Linked DNA regions of Neodiprion lecontei. The protein of the gene in region 2 purifies or fractionates together with the protein of the main gene of each other region. This does not show direct contact. Links are inferred from orthologs where the notes say so. Each region holds a gene or a part of one and is shown on either strand. Other genes may lie near its edges. The genes, in order: lipoamide acyltransferase component of branched-chain alpha-keto acid dehydrogenase complex, mitochondrial; histone deacetylase 6; sequestosome-1; mitochondrial import inner membrane translocase subunit TIM50-C.

What was found.
Region 1: the proteins of histone deacetylase 6 (region 2) and lipoamide acyltransferase component of branched-chain alpha-keto acid dehydrogenase complex, mitochondrial purify together in Homo sapiens (affinity purification with mass spectrometry; 3 studies listed by BioGRID and IntAct, with this or other methods). This does not show direct contact. The link is inferred for Neodiprion lecontei from reciprocal best matches to the Homo sapiens genes HDAC6 and DBT.
Region 3: the proteins of histone deacetylase 6 (region 2) and sequestosome-1 purify together in Homo sapiens (affinity purification with western blotting; 6 studies listed by BioGRID). This does not show direct contact. The link is inferred for Neodiprion lecontei from reciprocal best matches to the Homo sapiens genes HDAC6 and SQSTM1.
Region 4: the proteins of histone deacetylase 6 (region 2) and mitochondrial import inner membrane translocase subunit TIM50-C purify together in Homo sapiens (affinity purification with mass spectrometry; 3 studies listed by BioGRID and IntAct, counting the BioPlex papers as one, with this or other methods). This does not show direct contact. The link is inferred for Neodiprion lecontei from reciprocal best matches to the Homo sapiens genes HDAC6 and TIMM50.

What each region holds. Positions count from the first base shown.
Region 1 is NC_060264.1:33,775,805-33,781,954, reverse strand, and holds lipoamide acyltransferase component of branched-chain alpha-keto acid dehydrogenase complex, mitochondrial, read left to right. Parts: upstream 1-2,077; 5' UTR 2,078-2,209; coding exon 2,210-2,320; exon of another isoform or gene 2,321-2,324; coding exon of another isoform or gene 2,325-2,327; intron 2,328-2,432; coding exon 2,433-2,560; intron 2,561-2,695; coding exon 2,696-3,257; intron 3,258-3,365; coding exon 3,366-3,761; intron 3,762-3,840; coding exon 3,841-4,074; 3' UTR 4,075-4,707; downstream 4,708-6,150. Other genes in the region: transmembrane protein 45B, read right to left, coding at 4,930-5,736. UniProt on the Homo sapiens protein: The branched-chain alpha-keto dehydrogenase complex catalyzes the overall conversion of alpha-keto acids to acyl-CoA and CO(2).
Region 2 is NC_060261.1:13,092,504-13,098,286, forward strand, and holds the start of histone deacetylase 6, read left to right. Parts: upstream 1-1,893; 5' UTR 1,894-2,540; coding exon 2,541-2,543; intron 2,544-2,824; coding exon 2,825-3,004; intron 3,005-3,062; exon of another isoform or gene 3,063-3,195; intron 3,196-3,484; exon of another isoform or gene 3,485-3,574; coding exon of another isoform or gene 3,575-3,598; intron 3,599-3,668; coding exon 3,669-4,091; intron 4,092-4,248; coding exon 4,249-4,346; intron 4,347-4,421; coding exon 4,422-4,595; intron 4,596-5,277; coding exon 5,278-5,470; intron 5,471-5,590; coding exon 5,591-5,650; intron 5,651-5,710; coding exon 5,711-5,770; intron 5,771-5,783. Other genes in the region: mitochondrial intermediate peptidase, read right to left, coding at 47-187.
Region 3 is NC_060266.1:21,785,685-21,791,497, forward strand, and holds sequestosome-1, read left to right. Parts: upstream 1-2,347; 5' UTR 2,348-2,527; coding exon 2,528-2,714; intron 2,715-2,842; coding exon 2,843-3,837; intron 3,838-3,919; coding exon 3,920-4,198; 3' UTR 4,199-4,458; downstream 4,459-5,813. Other genes in the region: 28S ribosomal protein S29, mitochondrial, read right to left, coding at 4,578-4,814, 4,893-5,240, 5,309-5,445, 5,527-5,619, 5,745-5,813. UniProt on the Homo sapiens protein: Molecular adapter required for selective macroautophagy (aggrephagy) by acting as a bridge between polyubiquitinated proteins and autophagosomes.
Region 4 is NC_060265.1:20,613,788-20,620,637, reverse strand, and holds mitochondrial import inner membrane translocase subunit TIM50-C, read right to left. Parts: upstream 4,022-6,850; 5' UTR 3,889-4,021; coding exon 3,747-3,888; intron 3,219-3,746; coding exon 2,866-3,218; intron 2,787-2,865; coding exon 2,667-2,786; intron 2,442-2,666; coding exon 2,334-2,441; intron 2,255-2,333; coding exon 2,123-2,254; intron 1,932-2,122; coding exon 1,808-1,931; intron 1,675-1,807; coding exon 1,571-1,674; intron 1,456-1,570; coding exon 1,363-1,455; 3' UTR 871-1,362; downstream 1-870. Other genes in the region: uncharacterized protein LOC107223411, read left to right, coding at 1-57, 148-321, 410-852; uncharacterized protein LOC107223414, read right to left, coding at 5,024-5,327, 5,407-5,963, 6,085-6,850. UniProt on the Homo sapiens protein: Essential component of the TIM23 complex, a complex that mediates the translocation of transit peptide-containing proteins across the mitochondrial inner membrane. Has some phosphatase activity in vitro; however such activity may not be relevant in vivo.

The DNA.
Region 1 (6,150 bases), on a different chromosome or scaffold from region 2:
GCCGATTACTAAAAACTCATGAATGCAGTTATTCTCAATTGGACAAAGAAGGGCTTGCAATTACATTTGGTATAAAATCATTCTATGAATTTCTATTTGGTTCCCTTTTCACCCTACAAACAGACAATGCCACGCTAGTCCGCATATTGCATCCGGAAAAATCAATTCCAACCATAGCCACAACGCAGTTACAGAGATGGGCGGCATTTTTAGCTGCATTCAATTACAAAATTACGCACACAAAAGGAAAAGATAATTATGCAGATTGGCTGAGCAGGCTTTCCATACCAAGTGACGATGATAAAAATGATAAGAGATTCGCAGTTATACAAGACATGCCAGATACCTTTTTGAACAATATCATAACATTCGATTTCGCGACATTGGATTGGAAGCAAGTCCAAAAAGCGACGCGCGAGGATAAAGTGCTGTGCAAAATTTTAACATTTTGTTTGAATGGATGGCCTGAAAGGGAACCAAAGGAAACAGAAATAAAAGTGTATTGGCGCAAAAAAGACGCGTTAGCGGTGGAAAATAATTGTTTATTATGGGGCCACAGAGTAATTATACCGAATAAATTACGCACTTTAGTTTTAAAAGAATTACACTGTAGCCACTTTGGAATACGTAAAACGAAAGCGTTAGCCCGTGGGTATGTTTGGTGGCCAAACATCGACGATGATATTGATCAGATAACAAAATCCTGTTTACCCTGCTTAAAAACAAATAAGAAACCGATGAAAATACCGTTAACTTCATGGGGATGGCCAACTACGCCATGGCACCGAATACACGCAGATTTTCTTGCACCAATCAATGACAAAATGGTATTAATGGTAATCGATAGCCATTCAAAATGGCCTGAAGCTTTCATTATGAATAATATGACCGAAACGGCTACAATCAAAAACTTTTCCGACTTGTTTTCTCGACACGGGTACCCGATAAATTTAGTTACAGGCAATTTCCAATCATTTCGTGGTTATAAATTTAAAGAATTCACGAAAAAGCACGGTATACGCTACAGTAGGATTCCGCCACACCACCCAGCGACAAACGGCGCGGCCGAAAATTTTGTAGACACATACAAACGAAAAATTAAATGTATGATGATGAACAACATGAATTTAGAGGATGCCACACAGCAATTCCTACATGATTACAGGTCGACCCCGCAAACGACAACAAATCAGTCTCCGACAAAGTTATTTCTTAACCGTGAATTACGGAATTGTTTCTCGCTTTTATGCCCGCATTATGTACAGGAAACGGTTGATGAAACGCATTCGAGGCAAAAAAAAAAAAAAATTATATCGGAAGAAACCGCTCACATTTCAAAGTAGGAGATATAGTCATGGTTACAGATTATCGGGGGACGCATTCATCATGGGTAAAAGCCAAAGTTTTAAAAGAATCAGTATCAGGGGTAACTTACCTTGTAGAAATTTCACCTAATATAGTATGGAAACGGCATAGCAACCAGATGAAACTGTCAATAGAAGAATGTGTCAAACAAAGTGCAGATGTTGATGCAATACCATTAATGACACGGCGGTCAGAGCGAATCCGAAATCACACAGAAAAATAAGACAACGATTAAAACATTTTTTTTTTTTCTAGTCAGAGAGAGTGTAGTAGTATGGAATACAGGCAATGTATGTGGGGAATATGGGTAAGCGTAGACACGTGTGTATGTGTTCGAGCAAGCGTGTCGATATAGACACGCCAGTATGTACTCGGTATCCGAGGTGTTAAGTAACCGCTGTACGAACCAGTTGGTGAAATAAAAGGAATAAAGCAAAACACAACAGATATCGTTGTCCACCTCATTTATCCAAGATATTACAAGATGATTGAAGAATTCAAACTGACGGGGGAAGGGGGGGGGGGGGGGGATTCCTGAAGCTGCAATTATCTTCACGCGACAAACCACCCAGATTTTTACAAAATGAAGAAATACGTACCTGAGATGTATAAGACGATGCGCGACTCGGTTATGTTTGATTTCGCAGTGCTGTTATCAGTTGTTGTTTCTCAACCGAGTAAGTTACGTAAGAATTAATCGCACCGAGCATGAATCTGACGTTCGTGATTAAATGCTATTCCGTAAGAAGCGCGGCCATTACTTGTACGGTAAGGCGGGCAAACGGAGAACGCTCGTCACTTTGTTTCGGTATCGACGTATAATCAGCTCAACGCTTAACGCGGTATGAATATCGCTCTGATTGCCAGTAACTGCAGAACTGTGCGGTCAACTCGTTGCAACATCGCAATGACGTTCTTCGTTCGTCATCTAGCTACTAGTAGATTGGTTCTACCGGTAAATGGTGCACGTATTATTGCTTATCAGTGATCAATCGTACCGTTACTTTCCTTATCTCGAACCGCTTTAATCGGTATATCGGATTCGTAAATTTTTTGCTCTTTTTCAGCCTAAGAACATCAAACTCGAGGCTGTTCTCAGATCCGTATCGACCTCGGTTTCGCTTCAGGGTCGCGTAGTGCCGTTCAAATTGTCCGACATTGGGGAAGGAATTCGTGAGGTCACGGTCAAAGAATGGTGAGCGACTTCAATCATCTCCCATGTTTGTGTTACACGAAACAAATTGAGACAGCCTGTAACATTCCCGCATTGAAAGTGTCGAACGACAGTATCAGACAGGGTGACAAATGGTTGACTATTTCTTTACCTCAGGTTCGTCAAACCTGGAGACAAAGTGAGCCAATTCGACGAAGTCTGCGAAGTACAAAGCGACAAGGCTTCGGTCACTATAACCAGCCGATACGACGGGATGATAAAAGCCCTCCGATTTAAGGTAGACGAAATCGCTTTAGTCGGACAACCGCTGGTCGACATAGAGCTGGATGACGAGGGGGAACATGGGAGCGAAGAAGTTTCGGGGACAACTGAAATATCCCCCCAGGAGAAAACAAGCCTCAACACTGAACATCAGCGGGGGAGTGAGGCCTCCCGGGAATCCCTGATCGGAAAAGTTCTCACCACTCCTGCTGTCAGGAGAATAGCCATGGAGAAGGGTATTCGATTGAAAGACGTCGTCGGAACGGGTAAAAATGGCAGAATACTAAAGGAGGACCTTCTTTCATACGATGACAACGAGACGTCTGACAGTGACATCGAGGAATCAACCAAGCCGCAAAGGCAGCCTGATAAAACGAATCGAGTCCAAGGAGAGGTTAAAACCGTTGCCCTCAAAGGATACGCGAAACACATGTGGACAACGATGACACGCTCTCTGGTGAGTCCTACCGCGTGCCAAAATCTACCCAGAGTCGAAATCTTAAGGACTCTTAGGACACATTTGTTGAACAATTCATTGCACAGATTGTAAAGAATTTCATTTCAGAGCATCCCGCACTTCGTTTACAGCGACGAATGCGACGTGACGAAACTCGTCAAGTTAAGGGATGAGGTCAAAGCCGCCATGAAGGAACGGGGGATTGCTCTGACCTACATGCCATTCTTCATAAAGGCGATATCAAAGGCTCTTGAAAAGTTTCCCGAACTCAATGCCAGGCTGAACGAAGATACTCAAACCGTCGAAGTACTACCGTGGCACAACATATGCGTGGCCATGGATACTCCGGAGGGTCTGGTCGTGCCCAACGTAAAGAACGTTCAGAATCTCGACGTCGTGACCATCGCTAAGGAACTCAACAGGCTCCAGGAACTCGGAAAAAGGACAGCCATACCACCGAGCGACTTGGCGGGTGGCACATTCACCTTGTCCAACATCGGAGTGGTAAGTAGTGTTTAAAAAATGTAGAACACAGAGATGAAGAGTAGTGAAAATCGTCAATTTTATTAATCGTTGCACACAGGTCGGCGGGACGTACACAAAGCCTGTGATATTACCACCGCAAATAGTAATCGGTGCGGTGGGAAGAACACAAAAACTGCCTCGTTTCGACGCCGATGATAAGGTAGTCGCAGCCCAGATACTGTCGGTTAGTTGGGCCGCAGACCATCGGGTGGTCGACGGTGCGACGATAGCTAAATTCTCAAACCTCTGGAAATACTACTTGGAGAATCCCGCGCTGTTGGTAATGAACTGATAATGATGACGAAATTAGCGCGAGGTAGACTTTTAAATTTCGAACAACTGTACGGCAGGATCACTGCTGGGAGATTTCTCAGGTCTGATTGTTTTTGTACTTTATAATACTACAACTCTTATGGTAGAAAAAACAAAATCGACATTCAAATATCAGTTTTTTAAATTTATTCGAAAGTGTTGACTTACAAATTTCATATAGGCAAAATATTTCGATCGTTGTAAAGAACATTCACATAAACATGTATGTACATGTAGATGTACAATATTTTTGGAAGAGCAGATCTCGAAGTTCAAGATCTGGATAACAGTGTACAAGATTTAACAACGCTTATATGCATATAAGACTATACAATATTACAATTACACGGTATTAAAATACATCATGATTACATATATCATGTGAGGCACTGGCAATTGGCGACTGGTTGAATAATAACACTTTTTCATTGTATGTTACAGTAATATCACAAAAAATATTATATACAAATTTATTGTATAAAAACATTGTTTACCTTAGGCACGTTAATAACGAGAACAACTTGATCATGTGGCAATAAGTATTAGATACTAAAAGCGAGTTGCTGTAAAGACGATCGATATAGCTAAATAAAATTGGTACGTGAATCGACAATATTATCAATTACAATATACGAGTAAAAATTGAGTAAATAAAAAAATTAATGAGAAAACAAAATGAACCACTTGAGACGTCTTTACAGGTTGCGAGCAAAAATAAACAAGGCACATTTATAAAATAGCTAATAAATCGTGTTACTGTGATCAGAGATCAGAAGTTGGGATCTATCAAGGCGACCTGGCTTTTTCATGTATCACAAGCTGAACAAATTTGGCCCTAAACTCTCTGATCTACGTCATGGCAGTAATCATAGATGGGGATTTCGGGAGGATCATCAGGCCTCAGTTTCGGCGCGCAACTTCTTGTGACCGCGACTACGCAGAGTGTGACAATAAATGAAGCTGCAAAGTGCCAGGAGAAGGAAAGAGCTAGAGTCTCGATTTTCAGAGATTCAAGATTACATTCCACAAGTGTGGCAAAATTGCATTCCACCCTGGTTCTGACCATGTGAGCGAGCCAGCTACCGTGAAGCAGAGTGGAAGCTGCCCTGAGGAGCTTCATCTCGGGCCAGACCAACTCGAGAACGACGGCAAAGGAGCTGGTCCAGACGATCCTAGCCAAGACTATCGCAGAGTTATTGGACTGGCTGGTCCACAAAAATAAAAATCCCTCGATAAAGAAGGCCTGGGCAAGCGCCATTTTGGCCAGACCGTCGCTCACGACGTGGGGAAAGTAGAAAGTGAGAACATCGACGAGGCCTGAGAGCGCAAAAAAGAGGTAAATTGTAGCGTGCACCACCTTCGGCGATGGCGCCGTCTCAACGCTGTTAGGCAAGTTTCCCGTGAGGGTGCTTGCCAAGCCCATCGCGGTCGCTAATAACTTGAGGGTTCCCTCCAGCGGATGTCGTCGTAACAGTTTCTGGCAGTTCCGAGAAGCCCTGACGAGCTTCGTCGGTTCTCGTTCGTGATCCAAATCACGGTGACTGTGCCAGTATTTAGCGTATTCGTAGCACCACTTCAATCCAAATACATAGAATATGCAACCAGATAATATATAGCCCAAGGCACTGTCATTCCGGTCCATTTTTAATATTCTTTTTTTTTTTTTTTCTTTGTTAAATTTATTTTTCTTTTTTTATCTGCTGACGTAAGAGATTTTCTGGAAACAAAATAGTCTCTCAATTATTACAGGGTCAGTGACGTATTCGCGTAGATTAATCAATGTCTTGTTTACCAACCTTCAGGAAATTGTCAAGATTATGTATATTTTTTCCCTAATTCAACCGCACTAAACTTATCAGACTAAATGTAAACAATGAATATTTGCCCGCGCACACATTCATACATCACAAACTGATTCGATTACAGCTACTAGCTAAACCACGGCATGGCCTTTTTTAAAGATGGCGACACACAAAGAAACCTTGCGCATGTGCAGAGAACGCGATTCATTCACCAGTCGGAAAGTAGGAAATCTCTATCACCGAAGCTACGCTAA
Region 2 (5,783 bases):
CCACACTGTAGAAATGGTCAAAAAAGTTCTGTTATGCAGAAATTACCGTTTCTTTTCGCGACACTAAAGAATCAATCACATCAACCGACTTTGTGTTGAATGCCGTTGCTAACGAGGACCATGTGCTAACATCTCGATACTTTCTTCTCAATCCAGTAACAACGTTGTTTCGAATCAACATCAGCATTTTCTCAACTTAGGACTGTGAATGATAATAACAGTAAAAATAAGAAGCAGTAACTGAAGTCAGTGATTAGAGATCAGAGATGAAAAGTAAGCAAATAATGGAATTAATAAACAAATAAGTGGATAAACGAATGTAATGGCTTACCTGCTATTTACATTTCTAATCGTGAATCATGTGAATATATAAGTATGTATGTACTATTGCATATTCAAGTTTGGAAATAATATTTATCAATTATTTGTGTAACATTTAAGAAATTTCCTTGTAGTGCAGCTCATATTTCTCATAAGTTTGAAGGGTTTATTAGTGTACGCCGGGTTATTCTGTGCAGGGACTCGATCAAAACTATCCTGGTAGAGTGTATGTATGTAATATGTGTACCTGTTGAGTAAGAATATCCTATTCATTAGACTTCCTGCTTACAGGACTCCGTCGGTAAGAAGAAACTTTAGATCACAATTTACCGAGTAGCGCTAGCTGCACTGATTTCTATATACATATATATTTCTATATACATATAGAAACTGTGCTACAGAGTATGAAATGATACGGTCGAATGGTCTAACGCACATGCGTTAAAATTCTAGATTTAAAAGTAGTTGTCTTGTCAGGTTGACAAAGCGTCTTAAGTTTAGATGATGGGACACCGCAATGACCGAAGGCAATGTAACCTCAAAAATTTTGACAGCTGTCGGTGGTAGGTTGTGCTCAACTTGAGTGATACCCCGATTATTCATTAATTGTTCAAATGAAAACATCCACAATCTGTCCATTCGATCTTCAGCAACTGTCATCGATAACTGTCAAAGTTATTGAGGTTACATACCTCACGGAGACCTGCCATCTAAACTTATGATGGTTGGTTAACCTGACTAAACTGTTTTTACCACTGATATATATGTATATATATATATCAGTAGGCTTTTTACTATAGAATATGGTCTCTAGCATTTCAGCGCATGCGCGTTAATCATTCGACCGTTAGCTACTCATTTCTGTAGGCAAAAACCCGTGATAAGAAATTACGTGTTGCGTTTGCCACTTTCAGTTTCTTGTTGTTTTTGTTTAAACAAAGTTTGAGAACAGGAAAACCGGTTTTTTCAGTTTTTCACTTCTAGGCAGTGTTACCAACTCAGTAGTTTTTCCACTAAATCTGGTTGTTTTTATTCTGGGGCGGTAGAAAAAATTCACTTTTAGTAGTTAGTTGATTTTGTCAGTGATATGGTTGGTCATCAGTTTTTACACGTTTTAATTCCTTAATCATCAGATGACAGCATGAAAAGTAAATCTTTTTTCCTTTTTTTTCTATGGATGTTACAGTTTATATCAATAATAAATATTCATTGTCTAATAACAGTAAAGTTTATTTGTTTTTTTTTTTTATTCGATTTTATTAGCGGTACATTGACGTCCAATGCTAATGTTATATTACCATGTATTATAAAGTAATAATTAGATCCAAATTCTATTATAGATGTTCATTTAATACATACAAATAAGATAATTATTTTTAGGCAAATATTCGCGCGCTAAATTGAAATAAAATTTTTAATACAGTCCACCAGGGGCAAGTTTAGTGGTTTTTCACTGGAATTGATTGGTCGCCTTAGTGAGAGAGAATTCAGAGTGTTGGCAACACTGCTTCTAGGATGAAAACCATGAAACAATCCGTGTACTCGGTTTCTCTCTGTACTCTGTAATGAGATGAGTTGTATAGAATTCAAAAATTTTCAAAATGCACGCTGGATCGACTCGATCGAAGAATCTTTGTCCAAGAGAAACTGAAAAATCCATCAAATTAAAAAAATCGTGGCCCAATTGGTTTTCGGTTTCAGTTACATTGCATGTCACGAATTAGATTTTCATTTTTTCTATTGGTTGGTCTACATCCCTTTGTATGGTATCCTGCTGGCACTGTTCGATCTAACTGTAACGATTAATCACAGTAGTAGAATCAAACTTAAATAATCAACGACGGATATGACGGCAGAAACTAATAAAATTGTAGTATTTTCCGGAAAAAACAGTTTCAAATAATACACGGGCGTAGCCTCAATTTTCGTGCAACAAAGTGGCGATTTACGATGAGCAATCCCATACTCTGGCGATGAGAAGCTCTTATTCAGGGGGGGAGAGAGGGTTATGTTAGGGATGTAGATAATTTTCCTTTCCATTCATCAACGATCAAACATTAATCTTGATTGAAATTCATCGATGAATGTGATGAAAAAGTTCTCCGATTCATTTGAAAAATGATCACCAATATCATATGACGAATCTGTAAATTCAGGACAATCAAATCAGGAGATTGTGAAAGTTTCGAGGTTATACTATTCACTCAACGAACGTACCGATGGTGAGACATATGTGTATTTATTCATTCCGTCATCCCACACATATAACCATAAAAGGAATCCTCATACGCTTTGCCATATATGAATATCGACATTCGATAAGAGAAGATTATTAATTCAGTTCGTTTTTCTCCCCACCCACCCACTAATTACCTACGGTTGTATACAGTTAGCATCCAGATTTGGTATTCCTGTAAATTATCATCAATTTAAAACCTGTCATTTATCCTTACCGCTTCATATATTTATTTTACAATCATGCCATTTGTACTCATCCATTCAGACAGACACAAATGCCAGTGGGAACAGCCTATTTACTGCCGCTAGACAATTGGCAGAGAGTGAAATACATCTGATCCAGGTGATAGAAGGGACCAGAAGAAGTAACAGAAAAGTTGCAAAAAGCAACATGACCACAACAGTGAAAAATGTTGGCGGTAAAAAATCAGCCAAATCGATGAGTGTGAGTATAAGATTATGGTTTTGCAAGTGATACTTGGATGAAGAAACCTGTTGCATACCTTTTTATTTACTGGTGAAATTATCACACACAGAAGTTGAGATGTATAAATATCTGCAATGTTGAGAAAGTATTAACGTTATCAATAGCAATATCTCGACATTCGAGGTAGACTGTTTACTTGTTCATTAGATATATCGGAATGCACTGCAGTTCAAAGATGCAAACTTCAATCACATTATCTAGAGATGATTTTGTACTTACTTTATTTGTGTTTATCATATAAAGCTGTTTACACTTTTTGAAATAGAAGATTTCCTGGGTTCTCATATTTATGACAAAAGTTCAAATAAATGGTTTAATGAAGTATCTTATCTCAAAAGTATTCAGATAGCCCTGCCAATCTTGCCAATGTCATGCAGTATATCTCATTATCTATCTGTGTCGCTGTAGTTTGAAAAGCAAATACAATGATAATAGTTTCATCAGTTCCACTGCACTTACAGTCAAAGTCCGTTTTAACCATTGATAAATACTCTGTATTCTGAAGCAATTTATCAATAAATTCATAAAATGTCTGAGAGTGGTGAAGAACAGGTGACAATATAATTAATTTAATGATAATTTGCAAATTGAAATTATTTTCCTTATATTTTCATTACTCAAGGCCAGGCCTTCGGCGGCGTTGGCGGCAGCAAAGCGAGAGGCAGCAGAGCGAAAGCTTGTCCACCCGAAAAAATCTGGAAACACTATCCTCAGAGACATTTACCAGAAGGCCATGGACGCCCAGACAATAACGCGTGGCGAAACAGGTCTTGTTTGGGATAGGTCGATGGAAGAACACCGGTGTCTTTGGGATTCGACATATCCGGAATGCCCTGAGAGGTTCACAAGGATTCTGGAAAGATGCAAAGACTTGGGCTTGATCAGTCGCTGCAGGGTTATAGAAGCGCGTGAAGCCACTCATAAAGAAATATTACTCAAACACACACAGCAGCATATTGATGTGCTGAAAGAAACTGCAGAATGCAAAGACGAGGACAATCTTGAAAAGTTGGCTTCAAAATATGACTCTATTTACATTCATCCTGTGAGTTGGTTGCAGAAATAACAGAAAATATATAATTTTGATTGTTATTCAATAATTTAGTAGCAAATTTGTGGATTTGCAAAGTCTGCTGATTAAATTTGGATATGCAACAATTCTTTTCAGTATACTGTATTGATAACGACTCTCTTTCCTACAGTCGACTTATAGATTATCGCTGCTGGCTACTGGCTCAACGATAATTTTACTGGAAAGCATATGTAAAAAAAAAGTACAAAACGGGATGGCTATAATCAGGTGATTATTCATTGTCCTAGTACTTCTCTTGGTCACTATTTACTATATTTCTGATACACAATTCTCGGCTCTTAGGCCGCCAGGTCATCATGCAATGAAGGCTGAATATTGTGGCTACTGTTACTTCAACAACGTAGCTATTGCTGCACAGAAAATGCTCAATGATAATTTGGCAAGCAGAATATTAATCGTTGACTGGGATGTTCATCACGGACAAGCGACCCAACAAATGTTTTACAATGATCCGAGGTAAGCGCGTAATTGCATGGTAGATGATCTTTAGTGTGAATTGGCTTCACTGTTTTCACCAAAAATTAAGAAAAGAGAAGAAACCGATTAAGAAATCTCTCACAATGTCATTTCTATTAATGCTGGTGAATACGAACGAAATAACATCCGTAATATATAATAGAAATGAATCTAAGTATATTTGTATGATACAAGCTAAGATATGAAGAATTTGAGAGAAGGATTTAAAATTCGAGCATTTTAGATTGTTGAAGACTGGTGTTCCTGTTTTAATTCTAATGTTTCTGATTTTATTCTATTCACCGACCAGATTCCCTCAAATTGTATGATAAATCTTTTAAAAAATTTACATTATAACGCAGTTATATATAACATTTAAATGTAATTGTTGTCGAACATTTGCCGTGGTGTACTTATACAAATACATTTTTTCCCAATCTGGAGATAATTATATTACTGGAGATTTTTCAAACGGCTTTTGCTATTTTCCGAACTTTTGATTTGGACAGTAAAACCAATTAATCCTTGAGAAAATTGTCAAAATGAAAATTGATATTTTTCAGTTTTCCATTGATTGGTGATTCTTATGGAAAAAAATCAACTAGATTCGTTAGATTTTACTCTACAATGGCTCATCAAGTTTGAATTTTATTGTGACACATGTGACACCATTTTGTTCCAGAGTTGTTTACTTCTCCATCCATCGATACGAACATGCCGAGTTTTGGCCAAATCTTAGGGAATCAAATTACGATTACGTTGGAGAGAAAAAAGGGGAAGGTTACAATTTCAACGTTCCCCTCAACAAAACTGGAATGACAAATGCTGACTATATCGCCATATTTCAACAGCTCCTTCTTCCAATGGCTTATGAGGTGAATCAGAGAGTCAGAATTTGAGCTCAAAATGAATATATCCTAATTAATTATTTCAGTAACCATCAATTCAGTATATTCTTATTAATCCAAGTACACCCTTGAACAAAATCATTCTAGTTTCAACCGGACCTTGTTATTGTCTCAGCTGGTTACGACGCAGCTCTTGGCTGCCTTGAGGTAATAAATAATTCTAAACTGCAACTAATTCTTACTCATTTTATTGTTTTATGGACCTAGTTTTGTCCTGACATTGTCATTGTGTCTGCCGGATTCGATTCAGCAATTGGCGATGAGAAGGTATTTGCTATAT
Region 3 (5,813 bases), on a different chromosome or scaffold from region 2:
TCTTGATTAAATTCTCATTCAATTATAATCAAACTTACTGTCGTTTCTACTGCGGACCAAAAATACGCAGGAAGTACCGAAGTAAGTATGCACCTGGGTTACCAGGCTGAAATAATTCGGTACTTTGGGGATATCGCCGATCGATGAGGCGGCCAAAAGGGAGATGAGGAGGATTTTGGCGGTCGGAGTAACGGTCCGCATTTCTTTTTGCAGGTCTGGAATCGACTGGCGCCGCAGCAATAACTAATACCTAATATCAGTGCCGACGGTAATAGTGCAGGATAGCATCGTGCCACCACCAGCTGTTAATAAATAATCCTGCAGCACTTCTTATCCGCCGCTGAGATCTTCGCGTTTTACTACTCTGCTTATTAGCTGTATAGATCGCTGTCGGTATAACGTATTTTCTCATACATTATATATGTGGTATCATACCTGTGCGAGTTTTAAATCAGCGTGTGAATATGCGAGTATTTAATAACAATGTGCTGTCTCGAAATAAATAAAATTGCTAGGGTGATAATCGTTCGATGTTACGAACGATGTTTCGGCCTATACTAATTAATGTCTGTATTCTTCCGCGGTAACGTGGCCTATAATACGAAATTTCAAATAGAAATCAAATAGAATGCAATTAATACTTGCGAACAATGTCATAACCGCGTTGCGCAAGCCTAGAATAATTTCTTGCGTAATAACTTCAGCAACTACTGAATGTATGTAAGTCGCATTCTGTGGCTACATATACGCGTATAAGTAGTCAAAGCCATGATAGCGTAGGAAAATTGTATTTGCTTCAGCTTTCACCGTGCGTTTAGTTACTTACACACTTGCAAAAGTTTCCGTTTATAATAAGAACGCGTATTATACTATTATCCTCCGCTGATCTTGTCTCTGGAGAATCTTACGAAAACTATCAGAGACCAGATTCTAGGTAGTCGTCGAGGCGATAATTTATTCCCACGCACAAGTTGTAAACTTTACCAAAATTATACACCAACTGCGTGTATATTTCATATATTTTATTGAACTTTTGCAAAGACTATTTATATTGTAAAACGCGTTCAAATAACTGTAGATATAAGATTATTTTATTTGCCTGCTGTTTCAGGTACGTTACAACTATCCTAAACAAAATTCGTATGTTGTATCCGCATGCGGATTTCCATCCTTTCGAATATCGTATAGGCTATTTAATCATACCCGTATTAATACCAACACCGGGAGAAACTTTGCTTTGAAAAACTATTGTTTAGTTTCTTTGAATAAGAAATCCTTTAACCAGATGAAATTGGATATAATTCCACTACTTTTCTGTTTTCTAATTTGCTGTGACCTACTCTGGAAAATCTTGAATCACCTAACTTTTTAGATTCTTTTATCATCGTCTCTCAACAAAGTTTAGAGGATAAATTTTCACGAGGGCATAGAAGTTGGGAATGTTCTAGTATAAATGATTCATTGTTAGTGAAGCTTGAGCGAGTGAACTCGTCAACTTTCGGCATCAATTCTGCCATGTAATGCGATGCCGCTGGATACCCAGTTTGGCTTCACACTGACGCAACCTCACGCAACCTGTAGCGAAATGTAGATAGGAAGCACGGCGTAAAACATGAAAGAAAAAATTTAATGTTCTATCAGGTGTGAGTCACAAGAAAAGAAATTTCAAGATGCTTCTGGTATATTCCAATGCCAGTTCTATGGGTAAAAATTTCAGCGAAATTTCATTTGATTATAAACTTAAACGCAGTACTTAAAATTAATGGATGCAAACGAAAATTAATGTTTTTCCACCGGTGCAGAATATCTACATTTTTTCACCGTATGAGTCAAGTTGGAAACATTGAAAGATTAGATTTTCGAATCCGTATCGCGTAATTCCGATTGCAAATTAGGCTATCTGAATATTCGTAATGTACGCATTATTCACCCAGTAATCCACGTATCCAGATATTGATAACTTGTCGTTGTATACCTCACGTGGTAGTGAGTCACGATGAATAATGATGACAATGGCAACAAAGTGACGTGCTGCGCACGAAAATTGCATCTCATGCAGGCCGAAGACGCCATTTTGAGGTTCGAATGTTTAAATGTCGACTTTTCAAATGTAGAATTTTCCACAATTTCGAGTCGTCGGATGAAATTTACATGATGACATTTCTCGTTGAAGTTGTGCGACGAGTTTCTTCAAGCTACATCATCTCGAAGTAATCCCCGAAAGCTGTGTCACGGTGTTTTAAATTCGAATTTCGAACGTCGTGGCACGGCGCCATTCGCGCGACCTGCGCGCCAGTTGAGACGAATGGCCGCTTGCGGATTGCGTCGAGTATAAAAATCACCGTTTGGCAACTGCGCACATCATTCGAAGACTCTCATCGCCTGACGACGCTTCTGTGCACGCTTCAAAAAACAAAGCGATTTGTAAACGATTCAAGGCGTTTACGAGGTTGAAAAATACACAACACGCGAATCTACATTCCAGAGCTTCTGACATTCTGAGTTCACAATCAGTTCAACATCCACAATGATGTCTGAGACGGTCAGCTTCAAAGTATTCTTGTCCAAAGAGGAGGACCCCATCGACGCTAAGCCCGAAGTTAGGAGATTCGGCATCGATAAGGACGTAGTGACGAATTTTCTCTACCTGAACGAGAAGCTGCAGTCCGTCTTCGCGGCACTCCGCTCGCGGCGTTTTACCATCTCTTGGAAAGGTACGAAATATCAATCTGATAATCGCGTAAAATGCGAGTAATCATCGTCAACGTTATTGCGCAATTCCAAAATCTGTATATTGTAAATTTGAAAAATTATAGTAATGACACAAACTTTCTAATCACAGACGCTGACGGTGACAACGTCATCGTATCCAGCGACGAGGAGCTCAGAATTGCCCTATCCGAAACTGCTGAGCAAAGCATTCGCAAACTGTACGTCGTCCTGCACTCCGAGTACCCAGCTGAGAATGCTCAGCCGGACGCCGAGCAGCCACAGGCCATTCACATCGACATAATTTGCGACGGATGTGAAAAGGATGTCCATGGATTTCGTTACAAGTGCATCCAATGCCCAAACTATGACCTGTGCGCGGATTGCGAGTCCAAGGGACTTCATCCGGAGCACTGTATGATACGCAGTCCAGTCCCGTTGCAGTGGAACCCCCACGTTGGACGTCGACTATCGCACTTCATGTACAAGTTAGCCAGAAAGAATGGGCGGACTGCAAGAGATACAGATTTGACAAAGTGTCCCTACAAGAGGGTAAAGTTTACCCATAACTCGCACGCTGGGAGACTGGAGGCGGATAGACCTTCTTGGCTGGACACTGTAACTGCCTACTTGAACGAATGGGCTCAACTTCCGTCAGAAGGAAGCTGCCCAATGAAAGAACAACCTGGGCAGAAGGTGGGTGAAGAATCTAAGACTGAAACTGAGGACAAGCGAAGGATCAATCGACAGGCAGAGCTTTTTAAGAATGTCGGAGAGAATCTAGCCAATTTTTTGAACCCATTGAGTATCGACGTTGAAGTTCATGCCGAGGCTCCCAATGCAGCTGGGAAGGCTCCTGCTGGCGGTAACGCAAAAACCCCACCTGAGAACAGCCCACCTAGTACTTCGGCACACAAATTTCCTGGGGAAGGAAAGAAGCTAGTTGATACTGCATCGACTTCTGAGAACCCTGTACATCAGCCTACTGTCGATGCTTCCGCACCTATCGACAAACCTAACATGGAAAGCGAGGAGTGGACACTGCTTAATCAACAGGATACCCCGGTCTCTTACGTTACTGAAGGAGTTTCGAGCATCAGTTTGTCTACTGGAGCCGTACCTAAAGTGGTAAATTTCTCTTACAATAAATTGCAATTTGATTCCATGCATTGAAAAGTGATCGGTGTTCTATTATATTGTTTGTTTTCAGCCGTCAACAACTGTTCCGACAGCTTCTGCACCAGTTCCGATATTGGCTTCTACCGTAGCTACGAAACCAATTTATCCCAAATTGCCGCAACAGGCCGAGGCTCCGATCCCAATTTATCACCCCGACCCAAACATCCAACGCGCTGTGGTTGCAATGATGCAGATGGGTTTCACAAATGAAGGCGGATGGCTTACTCAGCTGCTGGCTTCCAAAAATGGTGACATTAGCAAGGCTCTGGATATTCTGCAACCAGTTCGTCCCGGCAATAGCAAGCAGTAAAAAAAACATGACGAAAGTAGTGGTTAATTGTTGACGACTAAACTGCTAATTCACTAACGATATATGTTTGATATCTATCATGTGCATAGTTTTTACTGCAATTTTATTACTTTTACCGTTTATATTGTACGTAACTACCGAAAAAAAGCATTCCCTTTTGTTTGCTCATGTTTTACTGTGAGAAATGATAATAATTCCTGCAATGGTGATTGTATTGACTTTGTTTTCTGATTCCTAAAATATAAACAAAGCAAAAAGCATTGAATTGACTATTTACTTGATTTCACGATAAACCTACTTTTCCTATGAATTTAATACCTTAATTTACGAAAATTATTCTAAGCTAAACAACTTTTATTTCAATTATTACATATCCATCTTACAAAGCTGCGCATAAATTCATAAGTTTGAAACCATTTTTGGCAGATAAGAGTTTCAACTCTTGTAATCCCTCGTCATCGCAGTTTCTGACCCACCGTCTATCTTTGAAGTAATCCATAACATTATAAAACTCGGAATCCGTGTAGGGGTTCACAGATACTGGCATAAAGGGATCCAAATGCTCAAAGCCGGCTTTTCCAAGTAGCAATCTTGGAAGATCAGATTCTTTTTTGCCCTAGATGAAGACCAAATAAGTTATCATGAATCTAGTATTCAGATGATCAAAAAACGGGTAAAATGTTCGCTAATTTACCCCGACAGCTAATTGATCCACGCTCACGACAACAGCTCCGTTGCACCAATCGTATTTCGTCATTTCCAATGCGGCAATAGTGAGTGATACTTTGTCAGGTAGCACCATTGCTTTAGCATCAGTGAATACTCTTGTGCGGTCCGTAAAGAATATATTGTAGCCATCGATCATCACTAGCGTTTGACATTTTCCCGCAATACTGGCTTCCTTCAGCTCTGAGGTAAGGGCGATTATTATTTCCGAAGCATACCTCACCCGATTGATTCCCAGATCAATCAGCTGCATCAAGGGTACTCCACGAGGTGTTGATTCTCGTAAACTCCACGTGTACTCCTTGTCGGTAGTGAGCTAAAAATTTGGTACAAGTTTCGTTGCATTAAGTTCCCGATCAAAACTAATTGCACGTCGATACGTACCTTGAGCTGTTCCAAAAGTTGGGAATTCTGATTCTTGAAATGTATTAGCCAAGCAGCAGCATCTATTGGTAAGTCGACATAGCCTTCTCTGGTAGTCGAATTGGCCACTTCTTTTGGATGTCTGAACCAATTTGGGGCTAGAAATAAAGATCAATAACGTGCATTGCGATTTTTAAAATAGTTTCCAGCTGCATGGATCTTAATACCCTGTTACATACCCCAAGGTATGTGAATCAGTACTTTCTGTGTTGCCAATCCATAGTGTAAAATGTGTGCCATTGAAAGTGTCTTTCCACATCCGGATGGTCCGTCTACTCAAAGAGTTAAGAAACTACCTGAAGTATTAACGATGAACATTCAAAGACAACATTTTGGTTCAATGATTAAAAAAAAAAATAGAAATCATTTCTATAAATAATACTTTGAAAAAGGATACACAAGACATATCTATTGACTGGTTTATTGTAGTTTGTGTTTCGTAGGTAAGATAAAATTTCAATAGTCG
Region 4 (6,850 bases), on a different chromosome or scaffold from region 2:
CTGTGTTGAATCTAAACGATAGAAATGATGTGACTCTGTTCACTCAGAATTCAATAGGTACAATAAGTTTCGTGTAACCGCATACTAGTAACTTTTGTGAATTCAACAAAAGAAATTTAATAATTTTATATGGCTCAAATGATATAGGTGATATATTTTACCAGTGCATAACGCACGAGAAGATTTCAGGAAATGATTCAGACGTGAATACAAATTCTCTACTGGCATTAGAGGCTTGGGAAGAAGCATGTTTAGCACAGAGTAAAACTGTGAAGCCCTTAGTAATCTCAGAAAAAGCAAGTATGGAACATATATTCAATGGTGAGTTGGAAAAATGATTAAATCGAAATTTATTATTGCAAGCAAGATTGAATCAGTTACTTCAATTTCTAATGATATCTTTCACCAGAAATGAGGAATAAAAATCGTCGCTTGGAACAGAAGGAACCAAAAGTACGATGTCATGAACCGAAGTGGTTTCAGTCAGTGGAGGAATTAAATTCTTACGTTGACATTTTCGCCCCAGAACTTTTAGCAATGTGGGACATACGACAGGATTCTGCCCCCTTGACTGTAACTCCGCACCAAAAAGTGTTGAGTTGGTTGGAAAAGAAAACTCCCTCTCAAAGTACGACACAGTCACAAAATCTAACACAGTCCCAAGAAGACACATCGATAATAAACGAATCAAACGAAATTCTTTCTCAAGAATTGATTAGCGTATCTCAAAATGTACCACCCCAGTATACTCTTGATAACACTCAGAATGAGCAATCCTGTTATGATGTACCCAAATCAAAAAAATCTCGGAAAAAATTGGCTACAAAGAAAAACTACATTGCTGGTTTTTAATGAGTACCTATGTTCGAGTCGGAGAATCGGAATTTCTTTTTTTATTCTTAAAATCGAAGCACAAGTGATAGTCCATGGCGATGAAATGTTAACATTGTTATTAATATTTTTAGAACTGTTAGTTTCAGTGATCCATATATCATAATTTGCATGGAGATAAAACAGTGAGAAATAATTAATAGGAAACTGGTAACTTCGAAGGCCTGCATTAATTTTGGTAAATGTTACAGCATAGGTTAAGTCAAAAAATAAATTTTTGAAATGGTTTACAATTACTGTATATTCTTATTTACAAAATATGTTGTATTAAGTAATACAACAGGTTAAATAAATTATTCAACTTATGATTGGATATCAATAAGTAACTGTGAGTTTTCATTCATTATAGCATTTTCAAACTGGTTTTCTGATCCAGAAAGTCACGGGCGATAATGAAATGTGATTTATGCGTACTCGTTCTGACAGTAAATGCAAAAAATATTGCACTTTTCCACCTTTTACGTTCAATCGTTAACGATTCCGTAAAAATGATGGTTTCCATTTCGACATCAGCACTTTGTTGTCGTCCTTCAATGACTTGTGTTCATCCTCCTCCATTTGTAGCTAAAGAAAAGTAAATCGTTCGTTCAATCTATCGTAAATTTATTGCTGTAGACTATGTTTTTAAATAATCATAAAAATCAATTTGATTATTTTTATATAAATAGTGACTACTTACCAAAAGTTTTCGTTGGTTCTCTCTGAAAGCTTCTAATGGATTGTCAAATTGTTTGTAGTAATTAAGAACATCCCTCACATCTTCTACATTTGTTGCTGATATCACTGTAAAAAGGTGAATTTTGCGTTACAGCATTTCAACTTTCTGATTTGCAGGTAACTCATTTTCGTGTAAGCTATCTCGAAATATCGTTAAGTGATCTAGCATTCATTTAATAAATTTCTAATTTAAACATACTTTTGAGGAATGCAGCTAAGTCATACAAAGTCGTATCATCATCGTTCCCTTTCCACCTTGGAAGCTTCAGTATATTTTCAGGATTGAGTTTCACACTTTCGCTATTCCAATCGACTACGATTACCTAAGAAAATCAAAGCATGTAAATCATAGTTAATAATTAAACGATACAAGATGAAGAAACATAACAGGTACTTGGAATATGCCTCTTTATAGCAACTATTTATTTACTATTATTATTCTAGTTTGGAACAAATTCTTATCCCTGCCAAGTGTTTTTTTTTTCCAATGCTTTACACATTGTATTGAACTCACTTTACTGAGATCCCTGTTAAGTGCAGCCAAATCCTTGACGTGGTGCCCATCCACAAAACGCGTTGCATCTCTCACCAGTCTGTACATAATATATCCTTGCGGGTCTAAAGCATCCAAGATGGGGAAAACAGTCTGAAATTTATTGAAATTTTGCATACGTAAAGAAATATTTCAGAAAGTAAACGCACAGTATGCTGTATAAAATACTCACCATTCCTTGTTCGGCTGTGTAAATCACAATTTCAAATTGAGGTGGTGCAACAGCCTCCAAAAACTGATCGACTCCTGGACGTTTCTTAAATCTCCAACCAGTTTGGTACTGTTAGAAAATAATGACCAGTTTGTTAGAGTGAAAGTTGTATGAATTATCATCTCATGATGAGTAGTGGTTGTAATTATTGAATTGGAGTATATTCAACGACAAATTAAATGGAACTACATTGTATTTCATGATTCGACTTTTGCATGGTCTACATAGTAGTCACAGAATGTAATTCAGAACTTTATTAACATTGTCATAGTGAATAACGCAGTAAATGCTTACCGTCCAATCAGGGTGAACCAATACATCTGTCAATTCAAGAATCAAGGTATATGGAGGTTGCATATAAGGATATTTCAATGGATCTGGTAGTAACTTCTCTCTACTTGGTTCTTGAACAAGCTGTATGAACAGATTTGATGTTGTTGATTGATTAGAACAGGGGTATTGAATTTAACAAAAAAAAGCCTTGATATCATACTTTTTTGTAGTAGTTTAGTTCCCTACGTAGTCTCTTGTACAACTGTTCGAAGTAAGGTAAATTACTGAATTCATCTTCGATAATGTTTCCTTGTTCGTCAACATTGGGTCTAGCTAATTCATAAATTAAGAAAGAGCCCATCACACCCATCGATACTCCAAAGAATGCAAAGCTATACTTCATCATTTTCCACGAATGTTCTCGCTGCTTTTTATCTTCGGCTTCTTGTTTTTTCTGATCCGCATCTTGACTCGACTCTTCATTTTGACCACCTGTTGCACTCACGGGTTTTAAATTTTGATCAACTGTCGATTGTATGTTTGTAAGACTCCCAGCTATCCCAGGACGGTTTGCTAATGAAACATGAATAAAATAAACCCACTAATGTAACACACTTTGAATACAAGCAAGCTTTTACCTTATCTTTAAATAACTTTAAGAAATTAATTCAATGCTGTGATATTTCTTGATAAACTTTGAAAAAAAAAAAGTTCACATATTTTGTTTTGCAAGGAAAACATTTAACGTTTGTTTACTGATTGTATTGTACGATTAAAGTTAGCCTCCCTCCCAAGCGGTTCAGAATAAGATGACACTCAGCTGTAAAAAACACTCATTGTATTTGAATTACATTTTTTTGAATGACGAAAACGTATCCAAAGGCTTAATTCCTCACGTGCTAATTTGCAGAGCTTATTTTTGACAGAGTATACGGAAAATAATTGTGATATTAAAATTAGCTTTAATGCAGAGTTGTAGTAATGCAGATTCGCCGATACGAGAACAGTAAATAGAGTTTTCAACGGTTTTTTCTACGGTATTAAATTCGTTTATCAAAGTCTCGCAAGGTTGAGGTTATGTCGTTAGCGCAATGTACTCACGATCGGTGCTGTAATAAAATTTTTGTGCTGACTGAACAACGGATAATTTTCTAATCGGTTGACGGAGCGTTGAATACGTTCCGCACCTGTTGCTATTGTATATTTTACAGAAAACTCGTAATCCTCGAGCCGCGAATGCCATCGCTTATCACGTACCACACTTTGATCAGTTGGATGGTTGAAATATTTTGTGAAGAAATGCCGGGATTTTTCGGGTAAGCACAGTCTACTAACTTATCGGTAGATTCCCAAACTGCCGAAATATCGAAACACACGTGGAAAACCGATGTATTTGCAAATTTCGAAATCACCAGGATGAACATAATTTTGTTTTTCTGTTGGAAAAAAGATGAGTGTTTTCCAATTGGGAAGTAATGAAGCTTCCGAAAGTTTTGTCAGAAATTACAGGAATAATCGACTTTCCGAAGGCTCAGTGGCTACAATTTTCGGAGTTCGTAGAAGTTCGCAAAATTATGTAGCCCTTCTTTACTGAACATTAGATTTTCCAACCAAATTTCATTCAAGCTGATTTAGTGATTTCTCCTGAATTTGAAAGATCATTCACGTTGAAAAATTGCTTCCACTTAACGGTTTGGTGGAATGAATGACCAGAATAGGTGTATTTCCATAATAACTTCTCGATACCATATGAATATTCTTTCGTGCAAGATGATTATTCAATAATAAATTTTTATTTCAAGTTATATTGTATAAATATAGATAATACCATCATCATATCTCTGTGTAGATGCCAAAAGGTAATGCTGAGCATTTTATAAGGTATATTGGCATTTCCATATTATTGAATTAGCGATCATTTAGTTGAGCACTTCTTTAAAAAAAGATTCGATATTAACGAATATTAGTTACTCCGACTAGTGTATCCAATATGCCTAAATTTTGAATGGACAATTGCAGAAATACAAATCAACTTTTTCGTTAAAATAATAATGATTCATTCAGGAATTTCAAAATGAAGGGTCTACCGAAAAACAGTCAAAATTTTTTAAACAATTTATAAATGCATCATTACTAATTTTATCGCACAATTCAACTGAGAAAATATTAACCACCAAGAGAGCTTCTGGAATTTTTTCTTTTCTCTGTATAGACGGTTTTTCTCTAAGTATTTGTTTCCTTACTTATTGTATAATAACAGCCATATGTTTGAACGCTTAGTAGAATAAAATATAGTATAGATTTTAAAGTACAAATTTTTGAACAAGAATTAAAGAATAGGTATTATATGCATTTAGTTTTTTCTTAGACTTCGTAACTCAATGGTGTTTCGTTTGCATTATATTTTTTCGATGAAGCATCTTGACCATCTTTTTTGCCGTGAAACCGGCACGGCCACCCCAATGCTTTCGATCTCTTGTCTCCTTTGGTTGGACCCAGTAATCGTAAGACTCTTCATCATCTATTCGTTCTTTGGAATTCGATCGACATTTGTCTGGTCCATAACATTTAGAACCAACTTTCGCAAAAACCTTTTCTCGAGCATCTTGACGCGAAGAAGCACGTTCGAAGAACCATTCAGAGCGATGATTACCATCGCGATGCATCTCCCGAGCATGAGATCTGTAAATTTCGAGTTTACACATTTATAGGAATACAAAATACTGGTCGATTTAGAGTAAGTTCTTGTAAATCATGTTACCTTTGTAGTTGCCAATCGCCTGATAACTGACCACTACTCTTTTGATTGGTGTTTTGCTTTTTTGAATCTTTTTGAATTTTCGTAGGCCTCATCTTCGGAGGCGGCAAAGTTTTTTCGTTATACATAACTTTTTTTAAATCTTCAGTATCATAATTGTTCTGTGTTTTTATCCACTTTTTACCGCGCTTCTTCTTGCGTTTTTTGTTATTATCTTTGTTTTCGTCATTAGATACCACTTTTTTCTTTGATTGAGTTGATGTAGTAGAATCATTGGAACATTTTTCACCCTTTCGACAGAGTTTGAGAGACCCGTTCGATGAAGGAATTTTTTCATTGCTTTGTAACAGCTTTTCTTTGTATACCTCTTCTGAAATTTCTTCGCATAATGGAGATTCTTGGAATCCTGGAGCCACATCATGTTGTACAACCGACTGGCGAATGTTAGCATTCCACTGCTCTTTCATGATCTTGACATTCTGTAATACATTAATATCACTTTCACTTGGGGTGACATCGTGCTTTGTCTCGCGCAAGTTATCCTTTTCTTCGGCGCTCACCTTTGTATACAAAATTGAAAACAACATTCAGAAGGAGAGCAAATTACTTAACGAATCAATTCACACGATTTCCCAAGGTGTAAATTACAAATAAAATGCTCGCAAACCATCAATTTCTTACCTCGCTTGGGAACTTGACACTATGTGGTTTTTCCTCATCCAATTTTCCCTGCTCAGATGGCACAGCATTGCTTGTTGATTTTAAAATGGTCGAATACAACGGTTTTTCTTTTGCATTTGGTACTTCAGGCTTGACCATTTTATCGCAAATAGATTCTAATTCAACCCAAAGGTTTTGACTCATAGGACAAGTTTCTGCTGGCACTAGTATTTCCATCACAGAATTTTTACAGCTTTGCGAATCTCTGCTTGATTTCATAATCTTGGTTCTCTTCTTACCCCGTTTTATGCCATTCTCTAACAGAATTCTCCCGGACTCTTGTTTAGTGTCTTTTCCTTCTAGGCGAACATTTGGTTTTTTTTTCCAAAAATCAATATTTTTATTGTAATTGTAAGTCAAATCTGGCATTGAACTGTCGCTAGAGTAATCTTTTGAAAAATCATTTTCAGTTCCAGAAGACGAGTTTTCGGATAAGCTTGCTATTGCTTTACCTGTAGTCTTCGGGTAAATTTTTCGATTCGATATTCGTTTTTCTTTTGTTTCTATAGAACGTGCATTTGGCTTTAAGGTAACGTTTAATACTCTGTCGCAGCTCTTTAGAAAAGAATTATTTTCTTCTAAGGATTGAGACACCTTTTCATCCAACGATCCAGACGTTTTCAACAAGCACAATCTCTTGTTCAACTTGTGCCTAACTTTGTTTAATTTATGATGAATTTTCATAGTCAATCCATGTATGGTATAAGTTAAATCGGTGAGCAGCGAT